2 linked regions of the Alligator mississippiensis genome follow. The protein of the gene in region 2 interacts with the protein of the main gene of each other region in a pairwise test. Links are inferred from orthologs where the notes say so. Each region holds a gene or a part of one and is shown on either strand. Other genes may lie near its edges.

Region 1 (10,873 bases), about 6.1 Mb from region 2:
GGCCATGTGGCCAGCCCCAGCCAGGCCCCCAGCACTCACCCATGCGGTGTGGGTGGCAGAGAAGGTTTCATTGGGTTCATGGAGCTCATCGGCGGCGTGTCCCAGGGCACCCACAGGGGTGGTGGCAACTCCAGAGGGTTCTGGGGAGCAAGCAGGCATCAGCTGGAAGGGGGTGCTGGGGGGGGGGGGCAGGCAGGCAATCCCCAGTCAGGCAGGGCTGAGCAGGCCCCCCCCAGCAGGACCCGCTGTGCCGGGGGAGCGTTCACCCTCGCTCCTGGCAGCGCCGACATCAACCTGGGAGAGAACTTGGCGTCCTGCCCAGCCCAGCCGCCGCGGCCTTGGCTCGCGTCTCCCATCCGCCTCTGCCTCAGCTGGGCCAGGGAACCCTCCTGCCCCCACAAACCCTGGCATGGGGTCGAAGAACCCCCCTGTGCCCCCATGCTGGTGTTGGCTGGGGAGAACCCAGGAGTCTGGGCTCCCAGGGCCCCTCCTCTCACCCCCCAGCCCCACTCCCCTCCCACCCAGGCATCCCCACCCCCTACACCCACCTAACCCCTCTCCCCTCCCACAGCTGGAGAGAACCCAGGCCTCCGACTTCCTGACAACAACCTCCCCTCCCCCGCCCAGAGCCTAAACAGAACCCAGGAGTCCTGACGGGGGATTCCCAAGGGCTCAGGCCAACCTGCTGCCCTACCCTGGTGGGTCACAAGCAGCTCACTGGGTAGATCTCAGCCAGACCGTGGCTGGTGGATGGGGCTGGAATCCAGCATGGGTTGAGGGAAACTGAGGCACGGTTCAACTAGAGCCTCTTGGTGCTGAGCTGACTTGGGGGGAGCAGGAAGGGGTTAAGAGGCAGAAGAGCAGGGGGCCCTCGGGCTAGGCACTGCTCCACCCCAGAGCTGGCTGTGTCTGGGCCCCCACCCAGGGGCCCCAGCCCCTGGCAGGCCCCGGCACCACTCCCCTGGGCAGGCAGAACGCAGTGTTCTCCTGGAGCCACTCCTAGCCTCACCAGTCCAAACCAGCTCCCTTAAAGGGACAGCGTCACCTCAAGTTCCACTGAAGGCCTGCTGGGAGGGGGAAACTGAGGCACGGGAGACCAGACCCGCTGCCCCACCCCACTCTAACCATTAGGCAGCCAGGCTGCTTTGCTATCCCCTCTCCCCACAGCCCTGCATTTAATCCCCCTAGCTCCAGGGGGCAGGGGATGGAAGCACCCCAGATGCCTGCTGGGAGGGGGAAACTGAGGCACAGGGGGAAGGTCAGGGGGGAATAGACCCTGCACCCCCACCCTGCTATAACCATTAGGTAACCAAGCCGCTCTGATAACCCTCCCCACGCACTTAACTCTCCCAGCTGCAGCAGGAGGGCAGGGGGCAGCATCCAACTGGCCCCAGGACTAGGGGCTGAGAGAGGCACAGAAGGGCACCCAAAACATTTCTGCCCAGGGGATGGACTGGCCCAGCCAGCCCCCCTGCCAGCCATGTGGGCAGCAGGACTGGGCACGCTGCATGGTGCGATGCCCACCTGGGAGCACTAGAGCTGACCTGCATGAGCAGGAGGATAGTGGTCAGAGCGTAGAGGTAACTCTGGCCTTGGCCCTGTGGCTGGGGGGAACCCAAGAGGAGCAACACCTCCAGCTCGCATGGGCATTGCTGCCACGTGCAACGAGCTCACACAAGCATTGACCCATGTACTACCATGACATGTGAGGCTCACACAACTGTTGACCCCTGTGATATTATGACATGCATGTGGCTTGCATAACTGCCAACCCCTGTGCTACCATGTCCCAGACTCGTATGACTGCTGACCCATGTGCTACCATGACACGCATGGGGCCAGCGTGACTGTGCAAGCCTGGCATGTCACAGCAGTGCATAGATTAGCAGTCAGTGATACTTGCTACCATGACACATGCGGGACTTGCACCATTGCTGACCTGTGCACTACCATGACAGACATGGGCCTCACATGACTGCTGACCCGTGTGCTACCATGACACACATGGCTCATGTGACTGCTGACCCATGCACTGCCATGACATGCCAGGCTCGCACCATTGCTGATACATGCCGCTGTGACGCATGCCAGGCTTGCACTATTGCTGACTTGTACGTTACTGTGACACATGAGGCTCACAACACCGCTGTCCCGTGTCCTAACATGACACGGGCATTTTTCACACCATTGCTGACCTGTGGGCTACAATGACACACGAGGGGCTCACACCATCACTGACCCATGTACTACAACAACACATACCGTTGCTGACCCATGTGCTACCATGACATACATGGAGCTCACACTATTGCTGATCCATGTACTACCATGACACACAAGGTGTTCACATCATTGTTGACCAATGTACTACAATGACACACATGGAGCTCACACCATTGCTGACCTGTGTGCTACCATAACACATGTGGAGCTCACACCGTTTCTGACCTGTGCACTACCATGACACACGCAGTGTTCACACCATTGTTGACCTATGCACAATGACACATGCAGGGCTCACATCACTGCTGACCTGTGTGTTACCATGACACGCATGGGGCTCACACCACTACTGACCCATTCACTGCTGTGTCACACACCAGGGTCATAGCTGCACGTATACACACTGCTGTGATGCACACCAGGCTTGCACCATTGCTAACCCATGCGCTACTGCGACACACATGAAGCTCACAGGATGGCTGACCTGTGGGCTACCATGACACACACAGGGCTGGCACCACCACTGACACATGCTGCTGTGACACATGGCCCCCCCCAGCCCTCCTCTTGCTGGCAGCTCTGCAACGGCCCACGCGTGGGGGCGGGGATGACACATCCCAGCCACTGCCTGTGTGCGTGTGGGGGAAGTCACACTAAGGACACTGCCAGGAAGAAGTGTGCCCTCCCTCCCCACAGCAGGCCATGGCAAAGCCCTGGGGGGATTTCCGGGGCCTGCCCTGCCTGGGAAATCCAGCCAGGCCTGGCACATGCACACGTTGAGGCCAAGACCATGCCCCCTAATGAGCATGCAAGCACACACACACACACACACACACACACACACACACAGAGTCAGGACCCAGGTGTCCAGGATGCACACGCACGCACACATACACACAGCCCCCCAGCCCCAGGACAGCAGACGCAGAACCCAGGTGTCTGGGACACAGGCACGTGCATGTGCGCGCACACACAGACACACAGACTGAACCCAGGCATTTGACACGCTCGCATGCACGCACACATATGCACATGCAACCCAGGGCTCACGGGGACAAAAATATCGCACACGCGCCCCCCCGCAACTGGGACACACGCGCATGTAGGACCCGAGCGACCAGGGCGCACGCACAGGAGCCAAGCATCCATCCTCCCCCCACACGTCCAGGACACCCACCTGCCAGACCCTTCAGCACAGTACAGCACCGAGCGCAGCTGGGCCGGGATCCAGCCGGCCAATAGCCAGTGAGCGGGGCAATGACTTCAGCTTGGCTCTGGACCTATGTGGTGTCTGCACCAGGCTCCTGGGGGCCAGGTCGCGCCCAGATCTGCGTGTACAGCACCTGACACCGAGACAGGCCCGGCCTGGCCTGGCCCAGCAGACCCCAAGCAGTCGCCCGCTTCCTCTAACTGCTCTCCCACGCTGCCCGTCCCAGAGCCCACCCCCGCCTCGCCTGGCCTGCAGGCTCAGTCATTTTGGGCCTCTTCAGCCCCCCGGACACCTGAGCTCTCCTCTGCCAAGCCACTGCCTCACCTGAGAAACGGGCACAGGGTGAGATTAACAAAGCCCCCAGACACCTGGGCTCTCCCCTAGCTGCTGCCCCGCTCTGCCTCAGTTTCCTCACCTGAGAAATGGGTGCGGGGCGAGACTAAGGAAGCCCCCCCCCCCCGGTCTCCACCGAGCCTGCCATGGCTTCCCCGCCGGGCGGGACGAGCTCGCCCAGGGGCCCGGCCCGCCTCGCTCTCCCCACGCGTGGGGCGGGCTGGCGGGGCGGGGGGGGGGCCGCGGGCGAGACCCGCGTTGCCATGGCGACGGCTCCCCTTGGGTACCCCCATCCCCAAGATGGCGGCGGGGCGGCCCCGGCGCTGGGGGGCGCCGCGGGACAAAGGCGGCAGCGCGGGTTCGAGCCCCGGCAGCGGCGGGGCCGGCCGGGCGCCCCCGCGCGCTCGGGCCGCGCTCCCCGCCGCGCGCTGCGGGGTCCGGACGGCCCCGGGGGGATCCGACGCGGGGATCCGGCCCCGCCGCCCCGCCCTTCCCGGGGGACCCGGCGCGCCGCGCTCACCTTGCCCGCGGCGGCAACGAGGCCGGGTGCGGGGGAGGCGCGAGCTCAGCCCGGGGCCGCGGACATGGCAGCGCCGGTCCCGCTCGATCCCGCCCGATCCCCGCCGCGGCGATTGCACAATGGAGCCGATCCCCGCGCGCCCCGCCCCGCCCCGCCCCGCTCAGGCCTGAGCAGCCGAGCGCCGAGCGCCGCTCCCCCGCCCGGCCTGTTTCCTCCCGGCCTGCCGCACCCGCCTCGGCCGGCCTTCATTTGCATCTCATTTGCATCCAGCCCCCCGATTTGCTGGGACGCGCCCCGTCTCGTCCGCACCCTGGGCCCGGCCGGCGCCGCTTCTCCCGTTGGCCCTTCCTCTGCCCGTCGAGTCCTGGCCAAGGGCAGCCCCGCCCCGAGCAACCAATTAGGGCTAAGTCTCAGTCTGCACTTCCTGTCCCAAAGGCGGCCTCTTCCCCCCCCCTCCGGTTGCTATAGCAACAGCGTACCCGCCCCCCCTTAAACCACCTGTGGCCTGACCCCCCCCCCGGGCCATGTGGAGGCCTGGGGGGGTGGCGGGCATCAGTAGGTTCCAGAGTTAACAGCCCGACACAGCACCCCACTCCCTGTCATTACACAGCCGCAGGGCCCAGGCCTGTGCACGTGCACATGTGTGCGTTCACACCCTGGCTGCCTCGGTTGTGTGTGTGCACGTCCCGGACACCAGGGTGGTGTCTGTGCATGTGCCCTTTTGTGTCCCAGACCCCTGGGCTTCCTGCGAGTGTGTGTATGCATATGTCCCCCAGAGGCCTAGGCTCTGTGGGTGTCCTAGATGCCCAGAATTTGTGTGCGTGCAGGTGTGCACCCCCCCCCCCCCCCCCCGTGTCCGCGTTTGCTTGTGGAACCTGCCCTTGCCCCTGCTGGGTTCTCTGGGTGTGCATGTGCCCATGTGTACAAGGGTGTACGTGTGCACACCCTGGCTGAGACCACCCCAGGGCCAGGTGCCACCTTAACCCTCCTCCTCCAATCCCTACTGGCTGCAGCCTTCCTCAGGGCCCCCGTGCAGAACCCAGGCATCCCAGCCGCAAATTAATGCACGTGGACCCCAGACATCCACCCACTGCACACCCTCACCCAACCCAGGGCACGAGGATGGGACCCCTTCACTACATGCAGCTCTGAGCCCTGCCCTGCCCCAGCCTCCACAGCCACCTCTGGCCCCTCTTTACCTTCTCCCCAGCCCGCCCTAACAGAGGCCTGGCCCAGAGCAGGGTCCCACTGCCTTCCTCTGTTCCTCCAAGAATGGGAGCCTGTAGTGGAGGACCAACACCAGAGGCTCTGCCCTGCCCTGGTGCTGCCAGCCTGGCAGCTCCTGTCTCATTGCCACGGTTGTGGAGAATTCTTTTCCCATGGCAGCACCCAGGTCTGTGCGGTGGCATCCTACACCGTAGTGGCTCTGGTCCAGCCTTGCAGGGCCCTGGGATCTTTCAGGCCAGTGCTTTTGCTTTTCAGCACAGCCACCAGGCTTCCCCATGCCACAGAGAACTAGTGCCCCCTGCAGCCCTCCCAACCACCACAAACCCTCTGGGATCCTCCTACTGCCAGTATTGGCTTCGTCCCCACAATACTGCCCCGTGAACCCCAAGTCCTCCCCTGCCCCCATCCACCCCCAGGCCTTTGAACAGGAGCTGCTAGGCCCAGAGGATTCATGCCTGGCTTCACCCAACAGGCAAGGGGGAAACTGGGAGCCATGGGAAAGGAAGCAACCTAACGCACTGAGTGCCTGGTTGGCATAGGGCAGGCAGGAAAGCTGAAGGCAGGAGACAGCATGACCTGGAAGAGCCTTGGACATTTTATTGGTGAAGCCAGAGAAAAATCAGAACTGAAAATACCCCAAATAAATAAGTCAGGCAGTGAGGGCAAGGGCCAGCGCTGCCCACGGTGCCAGCCCCTGTCCCCTACCACGCTACCCAGCTTTAGTAGAAGTGAGATCTGAGCTTGGCACAGGCCTGGGAGACCTTAATGCCACACAGAGGAAGTCAGAGCCAAGCCCAGATCCCCAAGCTGAAGGGAGCAGCAGATGGCACCAGGTGGCAGGATAGCTGGAGGGGGGCACAGAGCTACTTCCAACCCAGGCCAGGGCCACCGTGACACCAGGAAAAAGGCAGAGGTGCCCCTGTGCTGGTACTAGCAGAGTCCAGCCCTTCCGTAGGCCAGGAAGGGGACAGATAGCACCACTTACAGCCAGGCAGGGAGGCCAGGAGCCACTCAGGAGTGGCAGGACAAAAGGGAAAACCCTGCATCCCCTGGCCAAGCCACACTTAGGCCTTAGAGGACTCCTGCCAGCCTGGGCTGTGGCAAGAGCCAGCAGTGGATGACTAGGAGCTTCCATGGCACAGAGGGGCAAAGACAGTGCTTCGGGGGAGGGGGGAAGAAGAGTACGTGGGGGGTGGGGGGTGTTGGATTTCAACCCAAGCTTCCAAGGGTCCATTGGAGAGCGCTGGGCCTAGGCCAGGGCCTTATAGGCATCCAGGTTGAAGGCTGTGTCCAGGAGGCGCTGCAGCTCCGTAACATGCGTCTTCTTGTTACCCGTGGCTGGGGCGGCTGCAGGGTCACGTCCAGCGTACCTGGGTGGCAAGAAAAGGTGTCTATGTCAGCTCCGCAGTGCTGGGACTCCAGACAGAGACAAGAGTGAGAGGCCAGTTAAGATCCCCCCAGGTCTGCCCCCAAGGTCACCACTGCAAGCTGGCACAGCACTCATGTTTGAAGGGGGAGGGCACATCATGCTCTGGGAAATACAGTAATTGCTTTCCCACCTCTGCCCTGTGGGGAGACTGGGAAAGCAGTGAGGGTACCATATTTCCCAATGCATCAGAAGTCCCTTTACCTCCGAACAGGCAAAGGCACGAGCAGGAAAGCCTGATGCTACTTTATTTTTCAGTGTATAAGATTGCCCTTGCCCCACCCCAATCACAAGCAGAAGCAGGAACAAGAAAGCAGTTATGTCACCATATTTCCCAATGTATAAGACCCCCACCTTCTGGACTCAGCTGTGCCCAGCATTTCCGTACCTTGGCAGAGGAGGCATCACCCTTGCCCCCATCCCAGGAGGCCAGTTCCATGAGCCACTATAGTCCTTGATTCCACAAACCACCCCCTCCCCCAACCCAAGGAGTGGGGAAGGGCTCATACCACACGGGCTTGGCTCGGTTGATGGTGGTGCGTAGGCGTGGCTTGACATAGTCATAGTAGCCTTGGTTCTTGTGCTCCTCCTGGCACCAGGCCAGCTCAGCGTTGGGGTATTTCTCAGCTTCCTGCTGGAGCAGGTCGAAGGGGAAGGGGGACAGCTGTGGAAGAAGAGATGGGGGTGGGTACAGCTGCCTGGCACTGGGGTTGGGGGATGGAAAATCAGGGCTCCCTGACAGTTTGGATAGGCAACATGATGCCGAGGAGGCTCAGGAGGGATAGAGAATCCATGGGCACCCCATCCTGAGTCCCATATGCACAGCATCAGCCCTGCTGCCTTGCTAAAGGGAGTCTCTGCTACACCATGGCCTCTAGCCTAGGCCTAAATCACCTTGGCTTTGGTGCCCAGGGTCAGAAGGGGGGGCATGGCAGCAAGAGAAGCCAGGATAACACGGCGAGGGAAGCCATGATAGCAGGGCGAGGGGGGTCCCCAGATGCCCGGGTTTGAGGCATGCTCACCTGCTCCACCCGGGTGATGGCCACCTCAGCCTCCATGTGGCGGGCCTTGCGCTCCCGCGTGAGGTCATAGTACACCTTGCCTGTGCAGAACAGCACCCGCCGCACGCCCGCTGGGTCCTGGGCTGCCGCGCCGGCCTCTGGGATCACACGCTGGAAGTGGGTGCCTGGGAGGAGAGCCAAAGCATGACATTGCCTGTTTGGAGGTAGGGGGGCATCTTACACATTGGGAAATATGGTAAAGGAGAGGTGAGAAAGTAGGGACATTATGGTATTTCCCAATGTGCAACATGCCCCAGCAGGACTATTCCCATCTCCAGCAGAACAGCCAGAGCAGGGCTGTTCAAGAACTGTGTTACTTTGTTCCCCATGTACAAGATGCACCCCCCCTCCAAAGAACAGGGTAACAAGAACATGAGGTTACCATATTCCCCAACATAAGACATCCCCTTCTACAAGACTGTCCCCACCCCTGGAGGAACCTGGAAAGGGCAGGGTATGAAAGCAGAAGATAAAAAGTGCAGCAATCCAGTTTTTATTCCAATTTTTTGTTTTTTAAATTAAAAAAAAAAAAAAAAAAGTGACCAAGATTCAAGGGTTTCTACTATTTTTCTTTTCATTAGCGTATTAGACGCACCTTCACTTTAGAGTCCCTTTTGTAGGGGAGTCACAGGGGGAGGGATGTCATACACCAGGGGGGGGTCCCAACCTTTTTATGCTGCGAACTGGCAAACCACAGGACTAGAAGTGACCAGCATACTGCGGGCAGGCAACCAACCCTTTTTTATACCGAATATAAAAAAAAAAAAGGGTTGGCTGCCGGTCCACAGTATGCTGGTCACTTCCGGACTTCTGGTCCAGCAGCCAACCCTCCTGCGGACCAGCAGCCAACCCTTCACGACCCAGTACTGGGCCGTGGCCCAGGAGTTAGGAACCCCTGTCATACACCATAAAGTATGTTACCCCACAAGCACCCCCCTCTCCATGACTGTCTCCAGCTGGGCCCTGGAGCCCTCGCGCTGGCTGGGAGAGCTCAGCCCAACCCTGGCAGTCATTCAGTCGCCTTGCAGGCTCCCTGGGGTACTCTGCCCTCAGCCTCATGGGCCCATCGGCTCAGGGGTAGCAGCACCAGGCAGGCACCAGAGCTAGAGCTGGCTGGGGCTTCAGAGGGGCACAGGTAGACCCCTGGGAAGGCCCTGTTGACCCAGAGCCAGTCTGGAGCGGCTCAGCAGGGAGATCTTGGAACAGGAGTATCAGGTTCTACCAAGGGCAGCCATGTTTGGGAGCAGGCTGCCCCCCTGTGGCACGAACTGGGCACACCTCCATGTTGCTTTATTTCCCAACCAGGCAAGGGCAGGGCTTGGAAAGCAATGGCATTACCATATTTCCCAGTGTATAAGAACCCTTCCCGATCCCCAACTACCCCCAAGGAATATCCCCACCTCCAGGGGACCAGGCAAGAGCAGGGCTCTCAAAGAACAATGTTCTTATTTCCCAGCATATAAGGTACTCTACCCAACCCCAGAGGATCCCCCCCGGCTCTCTTCTTTCCCCTCTGCACTGCTCCGTGCATGCCGCACTTCAGTGCCCTTCATACCTGACAGCATCTCATCAAAGCCAGAACGAGCCTCAGGGTGTCGCAGGAGGGACTTGGGAGTGAAGATAATGAGCTGGAAAGGCATAAGCAAAGCTGTCAGGGTGCGGGGCTGGGTACAGCCCCACCAGCACCCAAGTGAGGTGGTGTCAGGCCTGGGCACCACTGAGGCCCCAGCCCCTTGCCAGGGTCCCAGGGCGGCTTCATTCAGGGACACCCCACCCCGGACTCTGTATGCTGACAGCCAAAACCAGCTTCAGAGGGGAATGGAGCCATTGAAGGCGGGTGTAATAGGAGCGTGGCTGATGGAGAGGGAAATCTCAGCATCAGAGCTTCCCTGATCTCCAATGGAGAGAAGCAAGGTGGGAAGAATTTGGGATGTGCCCTTGTTTTGCTTTGCTCTCTCCCTGCATATCTTGGGGACCCGAGGCTATGCAGATGATGTTCTAAACCAGCCCCACAAGGTTCCTTGGATGAATCTGATATCTTTTATTAGACCACAGCATTCTTGAGCCCTCCTCCTACCTGCCCCACCTCCACAGGGAGTGGGTTTTACCTCCAGTGTAGACGCCACTTTGCAGAAAGCCCAGATACATCTGCCAGCCCCCTGGCAACAGGGATCTGAGCATGGCTGGCTGAGTCATGGCCAGGCTTGGAGGTGGAGGGCAGGCCGAGGCCCCACTCACCGGCTTGCGGAAGGGCAGGAGGATCTGTCTGCGCAGGACGTGGAAGAAATTAGCCGGTGTGGAGCAGTTCACCACGATCCAGTTGCAGTCGTACAGCTGGCGCACATCATTGAAGTCTTCCAGTTTCTACAGCAAAGGGAGCAGGGTTGGGGGGATGAGACCTAGCCTGGCTTGTTCGTAAATCTTTCCATCCAGCACGGAGATGTCCCCTGGGGCAGGGCTGGGCCGCAGTAGCCCTGAGCAGTGTGGGGCTCATACCAGGGGTCCATTGGGGGCACATGGAACCTCCAAGGCTTGATCTGCCCACTGGGGTATGAATTTAAGAGTTTGGCTTTCCCATCCCTTAGATGATGGCAAGACCAGGAGAGGAGTCCCCAGCTCTGGGCCAACATAACTCCAGATCCTCATCCACTGACCACCTCTGCTTTGCTCCCCACTAGGGCAGCATCAGCATCTAGCTGTCCTGTGAGAAGTGGCAGAGGAGTAACATTCTCCCCGCATAAAAGTAAAGCAGGGAAGCCATGCCCTAGGCCCACCTTCCTCCCCAAGGCTGATGCAGCTCAACACTTACAGGCAGCACATCTGGGTCATCATTGCACATCTGGAGGAACCGCTCTGGCCTCGCTGACGAATGC
Region 2 (10,947 bases):
CTGGCCGGGTGGGCGCGGGGCCCGGGCTGGGCCCATAGAGGGCCGGGGCCGCAGCAGCGAGGGCAGGTGCTCGGGCTGGCTTGGAGGCCAGCCCACCGGCGGAGACGAAGGCGGTATACTGGTTCCAGAAGGACAGGGGCCCCACGCCCACCAACTGGGCCGGCACATCTCGCGAGAGGAAGTCCTGCAGCTTGGCCGTGCCCCCTGCCAGCACCGGCACCGGGCCCTCCAGGGTAGGGCGCCGGCCGCGCCGTGCCGGGCCACAGCCCCATGCCAGAGGCACCTGCCATGGCACCGCGGGGGGGAGTAACCCGTTAGTGCCCACAGCAAACGGAGGGGCCTGAGGGGAGGGGGAATAGCTGGGGTGGGAACAGCCCCAGGTGCCCTTACCTGGTGGTGGGCAGCTAGGACATGCTTGCGTAGTGCGGCCCCGTCAGGAAAGGCTTCTTTGCAGACCCCACAGGCCACGACTGCCCCCTCCTGGACCCGGCCGGCGCGTGGCTCCTCCACGCCAGCCCCTGCAGCCTCCTTCTCCTCCTCGGCGCCTCCTGCTGCTTCCCCTCCTCCTCCCCTCTCAGCCTTCGGGGGGACGGGGTCCCCCGTGGGGGGCAGAGGCGATCCCTCCCTGGGCGGGGGAGGGGAGCTAGGCTGGGCACTGCCCTCCCCTGCCCCTGCCCCTGCCGCCTTCCCAGCATCCTCCTCCTCCTCCTTGGCAGGAGCTGGCAGCACCTCCCGTTCAGGGCTTGACACCCCCTCAGAGCCGCCCGGGGGCTTCTCGGCGCCGCTGTCCAGCGAGTCCTCGTCAGTGCCTTCCTCCTCGTCGTCCTCCTCCTCGTCTTCATCTTCCTCCTCTGACAGCTCCTCCTCATCCCGGGGCAGGGCAGGCCCCTCGGCAGCGGGCTGGGCAGGGGCTGGGCGCGGTCCCTCCCCTGCGAGGGTGGCGGGGGGCTCGGGGAGCAGGGCGCCGTTGGGGATCTGCCCGCCGAGGTGCATGCGGACGTGCTGCTGCAGGGTGACGGCGTTGGTGAACTTCTTCTGGCAGATGGGGCAGGAGTTGTGGGCGCGGGCGGCTGGGCTGGCCTTGTGGCCGACGCAGTGTGCCCGCAGGTTGCCGCGGGTGGAGAAGGCGCGGCCGCATACCTTGCAGCGATAGGGGCGCTCCCCACCGTGCTGCCCGTAGTGCAGCCGCAGGGCCCGGGGGCAGCTCAGCACCCGCAGGCAGATGACACACTGGTTGGGGGCAGCCGCGCCGCCAGGGGAGGTGCCGGCCATCAAGGAGGAGGAGGATGAAGGGGCTGGGGGCGAGGGGGCCGCCGCCGCGGTGCCGCCCACCCCGGGCGTCGGGGGTGCCTGGCGATCGATCTTCTCCACCAGCTGCTGCAGCTTGGAGGTCTCGGAGGGCGAGGTGCCCAGCGGCTCCAGCAGACAGGGGAAGGGGAAGCCGGTGCTGCCCGCCTTGAAGTGGCCAGCCAGCAGAGCCCAGCCGGGCAGCTTGCCCAGGGGCAGGCGGGCAGCCTCGGCCTCCCGGCCCGGAGGGGTGTTCTCGTCCCCCTTGGCCCGGCCCTCGGCCGCCTTCAGCAGCACCAGCTTGTTGAAGACGGGCAGGGCCTGCGAGGCGGTGGGGGTGGCCGCCCCGGAGAGCAGCGTGAGGCTCTCGGTGGCACTGAGGCCCTTGCGGGGCTCAGGGGCCGGGGTCGGGGGCTCCTCGCCCGGTTCGGCCTTCTCGGGGGGCACGGACATGCCATAGGGCAGCCCGGTGCCGGTGAGGACGTAGTCGAGGTGCTCGGGCACGGGGTGGGGGTTCATCTGGACGTGGGGGTACTTCTCGCGGTGCCGGTGGAAGTGCACCTTCAGGTTGCCACGGGTGGTGAAGCGGTTGCCACAGACGTTGCACTTGTAGGGCCGCTCGCCCGTGTGCGACCGCAGGTGGATCTGCAGGGCGCTGTCGCTCCCAAACACCTTGGCGCAGAAGCGGCACTTGTGCCGCCCGCCCGCTTTATCGTCGGGCCCCGGCTCCACCGCCCCGGCCCCGTTCTTGGGCCGCAGCAGCCCTGGCGAGGACGCCGGCTCCAGGCCCCGGCTTGCCCCCAGGCACTGGGCGGCCAGCAGCCCCGTGGCCGGGAACGCCGGGGCCAGCAGGGGCTCGGCCTTGGGGCCCCGGGGGAAGGGGTGGTATAGGTGGAAGAAGGCGGGCTTGGGCAGCTCCGGGGAGCCGGACGCCGGGGTCCGTCCCGGCTCGGCCTTGATGGAGAAGACGGGCAGGGGGGCCTTGGCGGGCGGCGGCGGCGGCGGCGGGGCGGCAGCGGGCGGCTCGGGGGCAGGCGCTTGGCCCAGCGAGCCCAGCAGCAGCACCTGGCGGCAGATCTCCTCCGTCATCTGCATCTGGTGCAGCTGGCGCTGCTGCAGCACCCGCAGCTCCTCCAGGATCAGGGGGATGTTGAGGTGGCCGCCGGGCGGCGCGGGCGGCGGGGCTGCGGCGGGCGGGGGCGGCGGCGGAGCGGGGGGCTCGGGCGCGGCGGGGGCAGGCGGCTCCGTCTCCATGCCCGGGGGGCTCTCCGGCCGCGGCTCCGAGGTGGACGAGGAGGAGGACGAGGAGGAGCTGGCGCTGTCGGGCGCCGGGGGCTGCTCGGCGGGGCCGGAGGAGGAGGGGGCCGCCTCGTCGCCCGTGTCCCCTGCAGGGAGAGACCGGGAAGGGGGTCAGCGCTGCACCCCGGCCCCCCCCCGCGCTCCCCTGCCCCCCGAAACCCGCCTGTGCCCCCGGTGTGCCCCACCCGAGGCGGGGGGCTCCGATGGGAGGGAGCGCACCTGCCGCCTCGGCCATGGCCCGGCCGGAGCTCGCTGGGCCGCGGCGCCCGCAGAGCAGGAGCGGGAGCGGGAGCGGGAGCGGGAGCGGGAGCGGGAGCAGGAGGAGGAAGCGGGAGGAGCCGAGCAGCGGATGCGGGCGGGGCGCGGCGGCTGCAGGGACCTCTGGTGTCCGGAGCGCCGCGGCGGCCGGGGACACGCGGGGACCCGGGGCGGGGGGGGGGACACACGGCACACACCCCGCCGCGGGGCGGGCTCCCGGCGACGCGGGGTTGCCCGGCAACCTTACAAAGCGGGGTGTGTGTGTGGGGGGGGGGGACACACACACACACACACGAGGCCATTCATAGCCCCGCCTGTGTGCACGTGTGTGTGTGCGCGCACGTGTGCACGCGGGAGGTGTCCCCGCGCCCCGCCTTGCACCCACCGTTGTCGGAGGCCGTGGAGCCGTCGCAGTCGGAGATGAGCTGCTGCGGCTTGCGCTGCTTGCGGCGCGACATCCCGCGGCCGGGGCCCCCCCGGGCCGGAGCCTGCGGCACGGCGGTGGCTGCGGCCGTGGCCGGGCGGCCCGGGGCCGGGGCCGGGGCCGGGGACACGCCCCCCTCGGCCGCGCCGCTCATTGTGCGGCCCCAAGCGCTCGTCCCGCTCCGCTCCCGCCGGCTTTTGTGTGGCCGCGGGATGGGGGGGCGCCTTAACCCCTTCCTGCCCCGCGCCGGCCGTCGGGCTCCGCTGGGGGGGGTGGGCAGGGACTCCCCCCGGGGCAGACAGGGGGGGTCACAGAGCTGCAGGCCACCAGGAGCCCAGGCCCCTCGGGGAGCCGCACCCTCAGCCCCCGACCCCGCCGCGGGGCTCCCCTGCGCCCGGCCCGGCCCGGCCCTTCCTGGCTTCCCCCTCTCGCTCTTCGCCGCTCCCCCGTGGCCTCCCGACCTCCCCCGAGCGCCACAAAAGCGGCTCCCTCGCCGCGGGAATGTTAATGAATCCCCGGCACAATGGGGTGAAAGACTTGGCTGGCACTGGCTCGGAAAGAGGGAGGGAGGCGGGGGAAGCGGGCCCCCTCGGAGGGGGCGCAGGCGGGCGGCCGTGTGTGGCGGAGGGGGGAAGGGAGGCGAGGGGAGGGCATGGGGAACCTCCATCCAGGCCCCTGCATCGCCCCATGCCGTGGGGTTAGTGCTCTGTGCTGCTGGAGCATGCCCCTGGGGTCCCACAAGCACCCCGGATCCGGCTATCTGTCACCCCAGGATAGTGCGTGCAGAGGACGGGGTGGGAACGGGGCGCTGAGAAGCAGGGAGGATGAAGTTGAGGGAAGGAAGGGCAAGAAACTACCAACTCCTCACTGCCGGATGCCTGCGCTCTCCATGAAGCATCAGGGGGTTGTGAAAGTAGAGGGAGGAGGGAGAAGTCAGGGTGTGAGATGGCTGGAACAGCACATCCAGAACCCAGAGGTGGGGAAGCAGCCTGAGCACACTGAGTGCAGGCCCCTCGTGTCCCTTCCGGCCCACACCTGCGTTCCCGAACACATCTGGATGGGGCAGCATCAGCGGCGAACCCCAGCTGGGCAGAGAGGCAGGCGCAAAGTTGGCCTCCGCGTGAGAGGCAGGCACGAGTAACATCTGGAATGCGGGATAGCAGGCAGCCGTCACCCACATCTGGACGGGGGAAGGGTATTCATTGAGACGGCCCAGTGAGACTGCTTCACACAGCAAAATCGCCAAGCCACATCTGGGATTCATTGGTAGACTGTAATCAGCTATTATGATGCAGCTGTGAGCCACATCTGGGTTTGTGCAGAGGAGACAGCTGGGAACTGCTGCGTCTGCAGGGGTTAGTGGGATGCCACCGTCAGTCACATCAGGATTTGTGGTTCTGCTAACAGCATAAGTCACCACCTGGAATTAATGGATGAGACATAAACGCGGACCACATCTGGGCTGGTAATTACAGTGCTTTCATGAACCATGTCCAGACCGGGGAGATCCTGCAGTCTCTGCTCAGCCAGGGGCACATCTGGTTTGGAGGGTTGTTCCATCTGGGCTGATTCATGCAAAGAGACCATCGCTCTCAGTGGAACCGGGAGAGATGGCCAAGTCCCTCAAGAGAGGAGCGGGGACAGTGGGGCTTCTGGGGATGACTCACCATGCACTCGTGTCCATCTCATTGCTCTGGCCTGTTTGGTCTGTCGGTGCCTCTATCGTTGCTCATGCCCGCTTGCTGGTGGCTGCTTCTTCTCCCCCTCCGGGGAGGGAATCTGGTGATGAGAGGCATGGGTGCAGCTCCCTCTGGCTTTTGCTGTGCTTCCTGCTCAGCTTGTGAAGTCCTTTCCTGCCTCTCTGCTCTCCCTGGGCCCGTGAGTAGTTTCCTGCATCTCCTCCATGCCTGCACATGCACCCCGGGGAGAGGTCCCAGGGTGGAATCAGAAAAAATAAATGCCTTAAACTTTGATCATACGAGTTATAAGATATAACCGCTTTGTGGGGAATTGCTGGCTCTGTACAGTAGAACAGATAAGGGAAAGTGTTCTTTGTGACTCCTCTGCAACTGCTTCGCTCACCGCGGCCTTGAAGATAGCAAAAAGGTATGTACAACTCTGATTTCCAGGTGCAAGAAGGAGGTTTGTGAACTAACCTCGCCTCCCCCATGGTTCCCATCCTGATAACAGCAAAGCAGTATGAGCTAATGCTTGTTTGTAACAGCTTTTCCTAGCAAACTGCACTGTACGATCACATGAGTTGTAAGCGACTGTTAAAAAGTATATAAGCCTCCTGATTTTGCTCTTGGGGGGGAACCCCTTCCAAGTGCTTGGGCAATCCATGTCACTTTGGGGTCCCCCCTACAGCTGTAGTTTCATTTGAATAAAAGCTTCTGCTGACCTGACCCAAAAGTATGCTGCGTGTGTTTCCACGACACCAGTGTGAGCCTCCGGTCGTTCAGCCTCTTGGCCTCTCTGGGGAGCTTCTGGAATAAATTAAGGCTTTTCCAGGACACATTTCCTCCTTGTTGGATGTTCCTCTGATATCCTCCAAGCTGCGCCAGGTCCCTGAAGGACAGGAGTTGCCTTTGATACAGAAGGCAGGCAGGCAGGCAGGTGTCTTTGGCTTGTTTGTGGGTGGCATTTCCTGGACCTTCAGATATGGGTACAGAAGGCAGGCAGATGATACCCATACACCCATCCTTACACACTTCTCTGTTCGTCTGTCTCCAGCCAGGCCCCTTACCACTCCCATGTTCTCTTCAACCCTTGGATTTTCAGTAGCTGATGAGATTTCCAAAGCTGCCTGAGGCATCTGAGTACTCGACTCCTATTGCAGAGAGTGAGGATTGGGTTTCTGAATCATCCGGCTGATGCTGATGCTCTCGTTTCCAGCGCTGCTTCCTGGATCGCATGACCTAACATACCTGATGCAGCCTGTTCCTGACCTCCGGCTCTACCTGTGGCCACTCGGTGTCCCGGAAGCTCAGGGCAGCGGTGGTGAACAACTCAGGTTGTGACTCCGAGCTGCAGGCTCCCAGCTCAGGTCTGTTCTGGGACCTGCAGTGTGCGACCACCCCAGCCACTCTTATAGGAGAGGGAATCCCAGCATGAGCACTTCCAGGCAGCTTTACACCAAGGGAATGAATGAGATGGTGTCCTTTGACCTCTGGACAGTGTCCTTGCAGGCAGTCCCGGCACCACCGCACCCTGAGACCCACACTGCGCAGGGGAATCCATGACCCTGCTCAAAAACCCTTGCCCGCTTACCCGCCTCCTTTTCTAGCCACTGAGCTGCCTGTGGGGCACAGAGCTAGCAGCCAGCTCTCCATGGGTGGCTATGGGGTATCCAGATGTGACCTTTGCCAGCCCTGCTCCCTCCTGCCCTGTCCCCACTGGATGTTTGCCTGTCCATGTCTGTGCTGGCACTCCTCTCCCTAATGCTTTCCCGGATGCCCTGCAAGCATAATGTGCACTATATGCAGATAAGGTTCCTTGGGTGAATTTGATATCTTTTATTAGACCAACCCAAATAGTTGGAGAATAGTTATTAAGCAAGCTTTCGAGTTCAGAAACCCTTCGTCAGGCTAAGGAAGTTTCAGCAGTTGCTGTGTGCTCTTCCTGGATGGAATGAAAATGTGCACTATGTTGTTCCAGGTGCAATGGCCCAGATCAAAGTGCGCCAGCCAGGAGGGTCAGCCAGTGCCAGGGAAAGGGGCACCTCTCACATCAACTGCATGTACCAGTCTGACAGCTTTTATGGATTGGCCTAGCATTGACAGTGTCCTGGCAAAACCCCAGGGCTCATCGACCAGGCAGGGGACAGTCAGCAGCAACGGGGTGACTCACCACATTCCTACAGCTTCCTTTGTCTCTGTAACACCCAGGCCTTGGATGCTGCCTTGTCCCTGGGCACTGTGGGGGCACAGTGACTGATGACACTTCCTGAGCAGTGCAATATCTTGGGGGCAGAGGGGTGAGCATGCTGGGGGAGGAGATACTCAGCTCTTCCCCTCTCACCACCCCTTACCCTGGCGGGGTGAAGTTTCGTGCTGTTGTTGTGGGGGAACAAGCCACTCCCTCCTGCCTGCAGGGAACATGGGGATCTGGGTCCTGGCACCCTATTTCCAGTCTGTACTTCACCTTCTTGATGATGATTCAAATTGTCCCAAGGGTTAATCAGCTGCTCCTTGAAGACCCGCATCTTCTTCCTAGCCTGATTTCATTTGCTACTCAGAACATTTGTTATTTGCACCCCCAGCAGTGAAAAGCAGCCACTAGTCAAACCCCTGTGGCGATGGGGTGCTTCATGAGTACATAACACAGAGACATCCCTTGCCCCAAGAGGCTTGCAGTCCAGGGGAACAGGGCAAGGAACAGCTGCTGCAGACAGGCAGTAAAATGGGGCAGGGGACAAGCTAAAGCTTCACCAGGACCCAGCTCTGGCCTCACTCAGAGGGCTCTGCCACATGGGTGTCTCCACCACGTAGGTGCTTGCAGCATAGGATCCAGCAATCCTCAGCTGTCTCTCTGACCTGGTGTGCTTCTAGCCTGGACAGCTCTGGTTGGGGACCGGGCTGCCTTCTGCTCCTTGCATCTTATCCAGAGCAAGAAGCAGGCATGCAGGGGAGGCAAGCACATCTGGACTCCATGTAATCCCCCACAGGCACCCTGTATCCCTGTTGCAGTGCAGAACATAGCAAGCAACAGGGGAATTGCCCTGAAGCCTGAGCTGCCTCTGAATAGATGCCTACTCCTCCCACCCTGTTTCCTTTCTGGGCTGCTGCATAGGGCCTGAGATGTGGCACAAAGCAGCAGGGAAGATACTTTCTTCTGCAGGTCCTCAGACCAGACTGAGCTCCTCAAACTGCCTCTCTCCTCCTGGAGTCTTTCTCCATCCCCCTCTCTCCCCTGGGGCTACTCTCTCGATCTCCCTCCTGGAAGCAATGAGGCCCTTGGCTTTCCTGCTGGTCTTCTTTCTTTGTCTTCCAGGTGAGTTTTAGCTGTGAGAGGGCTCCCAGCTGTGCCAGGGGAAAGGGGCAGGGGCTCTGGAGGAGATGCGGGAGGGAATCAGGAATTTGGAAAAGTCTCTGGGAGGGGAGGGCAGTGGGACTGGCTAGGTGGGAGGAGAGGACAGGGGAAGGTACCAGTCCGCTTGCTGGGCTGTCTGGCCATGTTTGACTTACCTCTATCTCCACTTGTCCATGCATGCCCCGACTCTTTCTGTTGCAGTGTCAGGAGGGCTGGAGTCAGTGACCCAGGTCCGCTTGGAGGTGACCGTGTCTGAAGGAGAGAATGCCAGCTTGGCCTGCAACTACACAACCACATATGCCCCCTCCCTCCTCTGGTACCGGCGCGGCCCCAGCCACCAGCTGGACTACCTGCTGCAGGTTGATTCTCGGGGGGTGCGTTACGGGCAGGATGGGAGCCTGAGCCACCTGGGGGCCCAGCTGGACACGGAGCAGCAGACGGCTCTTCTGCAGATCCATGCCACCCAGCTCTCAGACTCTGCTGTTTATTTCTGTGCCCTGAGCCACACAGGGCAGCAGCACCATCCACCCCTAGTGCAAGAACCTCCCACAGCCCAGCCCTTCTCCAGGCTTGCCTCCTTCCCCTCCTAGCAGCCTTGGGTTGAAGATGCATCTGTGCTTGGAAATCACTTCTCATGCGGACCCATTCGGACCATGACTGGGTCCTCATATCACCCCTTCCTCTTGGAAAAATAAGGGGCAGGGCAGAAGGTCTCCTTGTGCCTCCCCAGGTGCTCATTGCAATGCATGGGGGCCTTTCCTCTCTTCCTCTGGAGGAAGCTGTGTTAGTTGGAGCTGAGTTACATTTCCCTACAGTTGAATTGTTCTCAGCTGATTCATCGTGCACAACAATGAGAACCATCAGTGCCGGCTGCTGCATGGTCCCCTTTGGAAAGGGCTCAAAGTGTACGTGTGTCCACAGCCGTAGATATTCTGGTTGTCAGAAGACACACAGTCAACGACGGGGAGCCACATGGCAACATAACGATGGGTCTTGGCTGCTGACTTGGGAGGAGAGGGATGAAAAAAAAGGCCCACATCCAGGGGTGGATGTAGGGAGACATCCTTGCCCGTTGCCTCTGCTGTGGTCACTCTTCCCAGCTGAGCCCACCCTGTGCAGCCAAGCTGGAAAGCTCTGCCCCAGGGGACAGTGGAGAACACAGCAGTTGAAGGCAGGGTACAGGGAAGGAGAGGGGAGGTGATGTGCCTTTGAGCAAGAGGGGAAGCTGGGGATTGTTACCTGCATTGGGGACTTGAAGAAAATGCTCAGATTTCCAGGCTGGATCCAATCTGAAACAGGGTTGCAGCTGCACCACTGCACTCCTCTGGATCCATCCCTGGCCACAACCACTGGACTGCAGTGGTGGCAGCTGCCCTGGGTGCCTGGGTGTGTTGTGATGCCTCTGGCATTACACATTATCTCCACCACTGAGTTTCATTGCTTCTCCTTCCCAGAAAGGAGGGCACAGATTGAGGATCCTAGTTTAAGCAGCTCAAGGGCCAAAGGCACTGGGATCCAGGGGACTTGGCCCCCAGATCCCCGGTTGCACCTGGACTTGGGTGCCTGACACCTGTCAAAACTCCAGCTAGTGCCCAGGCTGAGCTCTGGGCATGTGAGAGCAGGGTACAATGCTCTGACTGGCTGGCAGAGGGCAGCAGCATGTCAGGCAAAACAGCCCCTTTGCAAGTGCTGAGCTGAGAAGTAGGAAGAACAAGGCTGGTTTTCAAAGTCCTGGCCTGCCCCCTCCTCTCTCTCACTAATCTGAGACCTGTGCACTCTCTCTCCTGGGTCCCAGTGGGCACGGGCATGTAGGGAACTGGTTGCCTGTACCTCCAGCAAAGTCGTTCTAGCGGCGGTGTGGGGAAATGATGTTTGCACACTGAAGTGGGGGGGGTTTCTGTCTTGTACAAAATCTGATGGCTGGGAGCTGGGGCTGGGCATGGACAGTCAGGGAAGTGGGGGCACACTTCTGCCAGGAAGGGGGAATCAATCCTTGAGATAGCGTCCTCCAGAACCAGGTTGACTCACAATGGCCTGGCGTCCCTGAAACAGCATATGGGTGACACTAAAACATGGGGGAAATTGAGGGGATTTGTCCAAGACAACACCACTTGTCCACAACCCTTTTGCATTTAGACTTTATGCTTTGTAGGATAGGGGTTGTCTCACTGGCTAGCTGTGGCACTGGGCAGGGCCAGGTCTCTATCATGGGCTATGGACTATGCAGAGGGAGCAGGGTTACTGCAGAGGAAAGGGAGCGGGGATAGATAGAGAGGCAGAGAAATGACACAAGGAGAGAAAAGGTGTTCTATTTTTATGCAAGGCAAGGGCTTCTCATCTATGTCCTGGACACACATCACACATCACACACACATCACAGCTACAACACTCCACTCTATTTTATAACCACAGCATCTTAGTGAGTGCAACTGTGCACTTACATCCATCCATCCATCCCTGGCAGGACTCTGTAATGACCAATGGTGATAGCTGTACAGTACATCATGGTCGAGTCTCTCCCTTAAACTCCAGGCAATTCTGTTGCTCAGAGGATCAGAAGGGAAGTGGTTTGCCTGTTTGTGAGGGTGGCAGCAGGGGGGTGTTGTTTTGAAGCCCTGTGGTTCGTACCATCAGAGGCAGCAGTGTAT

Evidence for each region.
Region 1: the proteins of SALL2 (region 2) and ZMIZ2 interact in binary tests that used the Homo sapiens proteins (3 or more experiments, as listed by UniProt). The two-hybrid records come from large-scale screens. The link is inferred for Alligator mississippiensis from reciprocal best matches to the Homo sapiens genes SALL2 and ZMIZ2.

What each region holds. Positions count from the first base shown.
Region 1 is NC_081830.1:10,036,367-10,047,239, forward strand, and holds the start of ZMIZ2 (zinc finger MIZ domain-containing protein 2), read right to left. Parts: upstream 4,422-10,873; 5' UTR 4,287-4,421; intron 141-4,286; 5' UTR 90-140; coding exon 40-89; intron 1-39. Other genes in the region: OGDH (2-oxoglutarate dehydrogenase complex component E1), read right to left, coding at 6,763-6,883, 7,449-7,603, 7,962-8,125, 9,556-9,628, 10,239-10,364, 10,810-10,873. UniProt on the Homo sapiens protein: Increases ligand-dependent transcriptional activity of AR and other nuclear hormone receptors.
Region 2 is NC_081830.1:3,902,994-3,913,940, forward strand, and holds the start of SALL2 (sal-like protein 2), read right to left. Parts: upstream 5,025-10,947; 5' UTR 4,936-5,024; intron 4,834-4,935; 5' UTR 3,936-4,833; coding exon 3,230-3,935; intron 2,970-3,229; exon of another isoform or gene 2,822-2,969; coding exon of another isoform or gene 2,806-2,821; intron 2,673-2,805; coding exon 391-2,672; intron 284-390; coding exon 1-283. UniProt on the Homo sapiens protein: Probable transcription factor that plays a role in eye development before, during, and after optic fissure closure.